2 linked regions of the Nothobranchius furzeri genome follow. The protein of the gene in region 1 binds, or shares a complex with, the protein of each later gene. Links are inferred from orthologs where the notes say so. Each region holds a gene or a part of one and is shown on either strand. Other genes may lie near its edges.

Region 1 (3,288 bases):
AAGGCACACATTATCTGCGAGGTGTGAACAACAACCTGCAGCCGTGGGCCACCACAGACGGCAGGAAGCAGTTCAGCCTGAAACCAGCCAATCCCACGGAGGAGGGCCTGGCCAGTCTGCACAGCGTACTGCTGAGAAAGCAGCCATATCTGTGGCGTGCTGCGCTGCTCTACTACACGGTGTTCCACGCCTCCAGCATGAGCTTCAGCCAGCTCTTCAGCCACATTGCATGCTTCGTTGAGAATCCGGACGTCCGCTGGGAATACTGTCTGCGTGCCAAGAGGGGACAAACGGACACATCGCAGCCCGGTCAGTACACATAAATACTCCTGTCTCCGTGAAACTTTTGTTTCTTAATCTACGAAGATTCAGGCAAAAAATACACCTGATTGTACAGAAAACATAAGGTGTAGAAATAATTCTGCAGGTTATTTATTTAAATGATGAAAACTCCAGCAGAAGTGAGGTAAGAGTCTGATGGAGTACAGCCGCCCTGCTGCTGATGTGGCTGACTCTCATCACTAAGGCTCTGCTCACACATGCTGCCAACGTGTTCTGATCACAAGTGGAGAGCAGAACCACTGCAGTGGGTTTAGACCGAAGCTGCTCTATGTCACTTTAATAAAGTATATTTTTGTTTTAGGCTGCTTCAGCAAAGATCAGGTTTATCTGGACGGGATCCTGCGGCTCCTTCGGCATCGAAGGACCGTCGACTTCAAGTTATTGACCTCTTTAGGAAAGGTGAAGTGTGTACCCCTATCTGCCCATCAGTTTTCTACATTTCCACAGGACCTGAACTCTTCTTCACCTCTGCAGGTGTCCTATGAAGATGTGGAGAGACTGCGTCATCTGGCGGTGCTGTCCCGGACCAGAACCCCACACTTCATGCGTGACCAGGTGCGGTACCTGCAGCACCTGGACCATATCGTCGCCGTGAATGAGCTGGATGACTCTGCGCTGGAGCAGCTTCTTCCCTAAGCGGCGCCTCGGTTCTTACCTTCAGTATTATCAGCGCTTTATTAGAGCGTAAAACTTGAATGACACCACCAAAAGGGACACACACACACACACTAAGGCCTCGATCTACGTCCTCACTTCTGTCCCATGCATGTTTGTGTAGCTTCTATCACAGATTAATGCAGTTAAACACCCCTTCCCCCATAACGTTACCTCAATATTATCTCTGTGTAACCAACGTGACACACGTAACTCACATATTCACAGTCACGCTTTATTTATGCAGTTATTTATTTTTATTTGCAAGAACAAACTGAATGTCTCTGGTTTCAGCTTTATATCTTGTTTTTTTAGATAATGTTTTTATGGCTTAGATTGTTTGCATCTTTAAAAAAGGACACCAAGGACACAATAAATCCAGGGGAAGCTGTAGCTGAGGCCATGAATCTTTAAAAATATCAAGTGCCAGTGGACTCAGAACCAGATATCAATGTTTCCGACGTTAATCAGCAGTGTTGTCTTAACAGTGTCCTTGGTGGACTTTTATGGGCCATTCCCATCTGTACCGGGTCGGCCCGGGCCGGGTAGCGTAGGTTGTTTACATATCTGGGTGGCCTGGTATTTTTCCGGGCCAACCAAGGCTCATTCTCAACCCTCTTCTCGAGGGAGTCTGCTTCAGGCCGACCAGGGCCAACACACCCACTGCTGACAGCCCATTCACACCTTCCATTAGAGCAAGCCTCTGATTGGTGGGTAGAATCAGCCCATTCACACCTTCCATTAGAGCAAGCCTCTGATTGGTGGGTAGAATCAGCCCATTCACACCTTCCATTAGAGCAAGCCTCTGATTGGTGGGTAGAATCAGCCCACATGGGCTTAAGACAAGGATGTGTGGAATCAACCGGGCCAGGCTGGGGCCGACTGGGGCTACCCGGCCCGGGCCGACCCGGTACAGATGGGAATGGCCCACTAGTCCCTCTATGCTACTGTGATAGGACCCTTCCTGGAGCTCACCCAAGGCGCCATAGCCACTCGGGAACAGTTCAGCATTTGGGTTTTAATCAGCTTCTTTGTGAGTCTCGTGTCATATGTAGCTGAACAAGTGTGAGCTTCAGACTGACATGTAAAAAATATGAATTTCTTTAAAAGCATACCCAAAAAACTGATTTTACTTTTCTGGCTTTATTCCTTTATTTTAGATATTTAAGCCTTTAGATGGTTTTAAACAGATTTTAGAATCTGAATGTTCAGTCTTATTGGTCTCCTGGCAGCGGCTGAATGTTTAACACACAAATCAAAGTGAGATGGCACATCTGGAGGAGCGGTACCTGCCTACATGCTGAACTGTGCCTCTGTTAGCTAAAGTGCTTCAGCAGTATCTTTGTTTTAATATTTAAGAGCCAGGTTGGCTGACTTAGACACTGGGTGGTGCCTTCGATGGGTCTCTGCTCATCTGTGGTGTAACTGCTGCTTTTTGTTGTTTCACACAACAATTGAGCGTCAAAATTAAAGCATGATTTGATGAGATTATTTAGGTTTACCGAGACTCGCTCTGCTGTTTACAGGTTCAGTCAGAGCAGAACTGTCTCTGAGCACTTTGACCCGGATCCTCCTAAACAAATGCAGCTGTTTGGAGCTCATGAACGTTGCACAAGTGTTTTAATGTTCTGGAAAACATCTTGAATTTCTACTTTATTTATTAAAGTGAACACACCTACACTTAATGAGTGCCGTGGTCTGTGTTGTGACTCAGCACTTTCTTCTTTATGAATGGTGACCAAACGTCTTCTACTACCATGGACCGGTTTTTGCATTAAAATTTAGAGCTGATTTTTGCTTCTTTTTTTTTTTTTAAATAAGTGTTTAAAAGTCAATGTTCCTCAGATTTCTTCCACATGGTGACAAAGCTCCTGTTACACCTGCAGACTGACTCAGCTCAGTCTAGCCTCATGAGGGTGGAGCTAAATAAGGGTATTAACCAGTAGTAAACATGAATCAGACCTGACCCACTAAGTTTAACTAAGAAAACCAACAATGATCTTTGAAATATTTGGATTTTAGTCATAACTTGAAAAGTTTAGTAAAAGCTTCTAAACAAGTAAAAACAACACATGCCTTTAAATAAAAACGGTTTATTCTCTTTCAATATAGCTTTTGTTCTATCGATAGCAGAAAAGCGCCTCCACGTCACTCAGTGCTAAAACCTGGAACTGGATCTCCGGTCGCCGTAATGACGGACGAATGTCTTTACAGCAATCACAAGTCTTGATACTGATCCAACAACAGTCCCTTAGCTTGTGTTAAAACAGGTGCGGGGGGTTCAGACCTGAT
Region 2 (4,247 bases), on another chromosome or scaffold:
AGCTGTTTGACACCATCAGCTGTTTGAAATATTTCAAATTATGTAAGTTTTTGTCTCCCGTTAGTCATGGCTCCATACTTTCACCAACCATAATATTTCAGTACAAATACAAATAAATGTCACTAAAGGGTGGCTGGACTCACTCGTAGGTCATATGTGATCTAGGCCCTTTATTCCTCCTGTAAAGAAGCAATATTCTTCTTCTGAAATGTTTTCACTCAAGGAAAAAGCAAATATGTCATCAGATGTTAAACAAAGGTTAAGTGAGTTAATTGGTTTTTTTTTTTATTCCCCTTTACTCCTTGAGTCCGGCTCATCTGATGCAGAAACTCATCCGTGGCAGATGGAGAATGTGATAGCTGGGTATCACATTCTCCCTTTGGAAGGATGCAATGCAGTCAGTTTTGTGCCATGGAGGACCACTCCCTTCAGCATTCCCATCCTCCTCTCTCTTATTGAGCAGCTGCTCAGACACTCCCTGCCTCACAGCTGTTGTTGGCAGGAAGAGGAGGAGGAGCAGGAGAACGTTTCTGGCAGCCATTACTGTTTCCTGTCCTGTCTTCCATCCTCGACTATTCCTGCTTTCTGTGACGTGTCCTTGCCGAATTGTTCAATGACTGACAAGAAATTCTACATAAAACTCAGCAGCTTTGATCCAATCCCACTATTTTCCAGCAATAGCTTCCTGATACTTCATCCCTGACAGGAATCAAGTCAATGTCTTTCACTCTGATGCTTGAAACAGGCCAGCAGGCTGCACCCACAGACATACATGTTATGGATGCACCCAGCCTCTGTTCTGCTGAACAGCAGAGGCTGCAGATCACGTGATCGGCCCACTCGATGACATCATTGCAGAGAATCTGGGACAAAGCGGGAGGAGAGCTGGCACGAAGATGAACGTCAAGGAAGCTCCCTGCAGCATGGACACTGGGACACAGCAGCTGGAGATGGAAGCTTCTGGAACAGAGTTTGCTCCTCCCACTTTAGCGTAAAACGTCATCCACCTCCTTCATTTGGGAGGTGATGTGGGGAAAATGCCACACCCAAGTGGTTGTGGATGCTGTGATGGATGCCCAATAAACCTGCTTTGTTTGAACTCCGTTTTTACATATTTTCAGCTGATCAAAAATAATAATTATATATGTTACCGATATGAATAAAATATAAGTTACAAAAATAAATGTATTGCAAATAACACGTTTTGAAACATTGAGGCTATTTCAGATTGTGTCTGCATGTTTTCTCCCTACGTGAAACCAGATATTTCTAATCACACCAGCATGCAAACGAACTGCAGAGATAAATAAATGCTTATCTGAGGAAATGTGCGCAGCCTGACCAAACGGCGGCAGTAGAAGAGCCCTTTTCCCTCTGTCCTCACAGCAAACCCCTGCCTGCCTGCCTGTATAAAACCAGCCTGCACCGCCCTCCCGTTCAGCAGTTGTTGCATCGACCCCGTTGGGTACAACAAGCAACGCAAACACCCCGTTTTTACAAACACCCTTTTCTTCTCCTCTTCCTCTCCGAACCTCCGGCGGAAACATGGTGAGTTGATTTAAGAACAAATCCAATCCACCGGGTAGATTTTCATTTTAATTCAGCTATTAGACGACGGGTTGCTGAATTTCGGAGAGGTTTTGGATGAATAATCAGCTCTCTGCAACGTGTTTTATTGATGTTTGATGTGAAATACGAATACTGGATTTTTGCGGCTGACGCACAGATTGATCCGCAGTCGCACAATGTGAGTTTCATTGTGAAGTGGTGAGAACAATGAGCTGGCTGGCGTAGAAAAGGCACGGAGAGAACAAGCCATCCTCTTTATTATAGAAGGTCAGAATTATTACACTTTTTATTTGTGTAAATGTTAATTGTCAAAGGTGAACAAATAAATCAGACTTAATTCTGGGCGGGGCTGGACGGAGAAATTTCATCCATCATTTTTTATTCATGAGAATTTTGATTCAAACAAAAAAAACGGAAAATATATTTGATTCAGATATGAACAAAACCGAAAACCCCATTTATTTTCAGCTACTTAATACTTTTTCTCTGATGTGTAATTAGCTGGCATGAAGGAGCAGTCATTTTATTTAGCATCTTCAAGGAAAACGTTGGGATATTCCAATTTGACTGAATGCACGCGCCTGTGCGCAAGCGACTGAATTTGCATGTTTGGCTATCTTTGCATAAGAGAAAGGAGATGAGATAAAATAGACAAAAGCAGATTGAAAAGACTGGAGGAAGCCGGTGTGTGCAGCCTCTGTGGGGGCTGCTGTCAGGTTTTTCTGTCCCCCGTGAATTGTGGTGCAGGGAGGAGCCTCCTCCGGCTGCAGTGACTGCTCTGACAGACAGGGGGAGCTGCTAAATATTCTCAGTTGATACAAAGGTGATGTTAAAAACTGACTCATTTCTTCTTTGCTTCTATCCAGCGTGAGTGCATCTCCATCCATGTAGGTCAGGCTGGTGTCCAGATTGGCAACGCCTGCTGGGAGCTCTACTGTCTGGAGCATGGAATCCAGCCGGACGGGCAGATGCCCAGTGACAAGACTCTAGGAGGTGGAGATGACTCCTTCAACACATTCTTCAGTGAGACTGGAGCTGGGAAGCACGTCCCCAGAGCAGTTTTCGTAGATTTGGAGCCTACTGTCATTGGTAAGGGTTAGGCTTGGGTTAAGCACTAATCCTTGTAACCCAAACTGGCTGAACATGAGATTTTGTAAATTATACACAAATAATTTCAAATGAAAACTAAAAGTTTCCCTTTGCCTCCAGATGAGGTGCGTACTGGAACCTACCGCCAGCTGTTCCACCCTGAGCAGCTGATCACGGGTAAGGAGGATGCTGCCAATAACTACGCTCGTGGACACTACACCATTGGCAAAGAGATCATCGACCTGGTCTTGGACAGGATCCGCAAACTGGTGAGTAAAGTCATATTTTTACACTTAGTCTGTAATAAATCTGATAAATGACTCATTTGTTTTCTGTGTCCTCAGGCGGACCAGTGCACCGGTCTTCAGGGCTTCCTGGTCTTCCACAGCTTTGGTGGAGGTACCGGCTCTGGTTTCACCTCCCTGCTGATGGAGCGTCTGTCTGTGGACTACGGCAAGAAGTCCAAGCTGGAGTTCTCCATCTACCCAGCTCCCCAGGTGTCCACTGCTGTGGTGGAGCCCTACAACTCCATCCTGACCACCCACACCACCTTGGAGCACTCTGACTGTGCCTTCATGGTGGACAATGAGGCCATCTACGACATCTGCCGTAGAAACCTAGACATCGAGCGTCCCACCTACACCAACCTGAACAGGTTGATCAGTCAGATTGTGTCCTCCATCACTGCGTCTCTCCGCTTTGATGGTGCCCTGAATGTTGATCTGACAGAGTTCCAGACCAACCTGGTGCCGTATCCCCGTATCCACTTCCCTCTGGCTACCTATGCTCCTGTCATCTCAGCTGAGAAGGCTTACCACGAGCAGCTTTCAGTTGCTGAGATCACCAACGCCTGCTTCGAGCCAGCCAATCAGATGGTGAAATGTGACCCCCGCCACGGCAAGTACATGGCCTGCTGCCTTCTGTTCCGTGGTGATGTGGTGCCCAAAGATGTCAATGCTGCCATCGCCACCATCAAAACCAAACGCACCATCCAGTTTGTGGACTGGTGTCCCACTGGTTTCAAGGTTGGCATCAACTACCAGCCTCCCACTGTGGTTCCTGGTGGAGATCTGGCCAAGGTCCAGAGGGCTGTTTGCATGCTGAGCAACACCACTGCTATTGCAGAGGCCTGGGCTCGTCTGGACCACAAGTTTGATCTGATGTACGCTAAGCGTGCTTTTGTGCACTGGTATGTTGGTGAGGGGATGGAGGAGGGAGAGTTCTCTGAGGCCAGGGAGGACATGGCAGCTCTAGAGAAGGATTACGAGGAGGTTGGAGTCGACTCCATTGAGGGTGAGGGAGAGGAGGAGGGAGAGGAGTACTAAAGGGAACATAGAGAAATTGGTTCAACATGAAATAATTGATAGCAATGATTTATTGAATGCATTCAAAAAATTGTTCTTCAATTCACGTCTTTGTTTGGCTGATGATAAAAAAACTCCTGAACCCGTCAAAATGTTTTTGTTCACAATAAAACCTCTGTGATGTGAAGTTGTTTGTCCCTTTTTCCAACATCAATAATCTTTTCCCCATAAAAGGTTAAAAAAAAGCTAAGAAACCACCTTTTCCTAGTGACTAATAGGCCAACT

Evidence for each region.
Region 2: the proteins of kiaa0895l (region 1) and tubulin alpha-1B chain are in contact, whole or in part, in a cryo-EM structure (PDB 7Z6S), measured with the Homo sapiens proteins. The link is inferred for Nothobranchius furzeri from reciprocal best matches to the Homo sapiens genes MATCAP1 and TUBA1B. Residues at the interface, in NP_001035805.1 of Homo sapiens: Lys219, Cys220, Trp223, Val226, Arg227, Gly237, Glu238, Val239, Val240, Val241, Gln242, Leu243, Met253, Met254, Val255, Glu256, Asn257, Ser258, Arg259, Pro260, Thr261; in NP_006073.2 of Homo sapiens: Asp345, Trp346, Arg422, Glu423, Ala426, Ala427, Glu429, Lys430, Asp431, Glu433, Glu434, Val435, Gly436, Val437, Asp438, Ser439, Val440, Glu441.

Annotation. Positions count from the first base shown.
Region 1 is NC_091749.1:31,557,367-31,560,654, forward strand, and holds the end of kiaa0895l (microtubule-associated tyrosine carboxypeptidase 1), read left to right. Parts: intron 1-3; coding exon 4-309; intron 310-643; coding exon 644-741; intron 742-816; coding exon 817-978; 3' UTR 979-2,676; downstream 2,677-3,288. UniProt on the Homo sapiens protein: Tyrosine carboxypeptidase that removes the C-terminal tyrosine residue of alpha-tubulin, thereby regulating microtubule dynamics and function. Also able to remove the C-terminal phenylalanine residue of alpha-tubulin TUBA8.
Region 2 is NC_091755.1:36,643,767-36,648,013, forward strand, and holds tubulin alpha-1B chain, read left to right. Parts: upstream 1-1,388; 5' UTR 1,389-1,545; coding exon 1,546-1,548; intron 1,549-2,435; coding exon 2,436-2,658; intron 2,659-2,778; coding exon 2,779-2,927; intron 2,928-3,002; coding exon 3,003-3,983; 3' UTR 3,984-4,149; downstream 4,150-4,247. UniProt on the Homo sapiens protein: Tubulin is the major constituent of microtubules, protein filaments consisting of alpha- and beta-tubulin heterodimers. Microtubules grow by the addition of GTP-tubulin dimers to the microtubule end, where a stabilizing cap forms.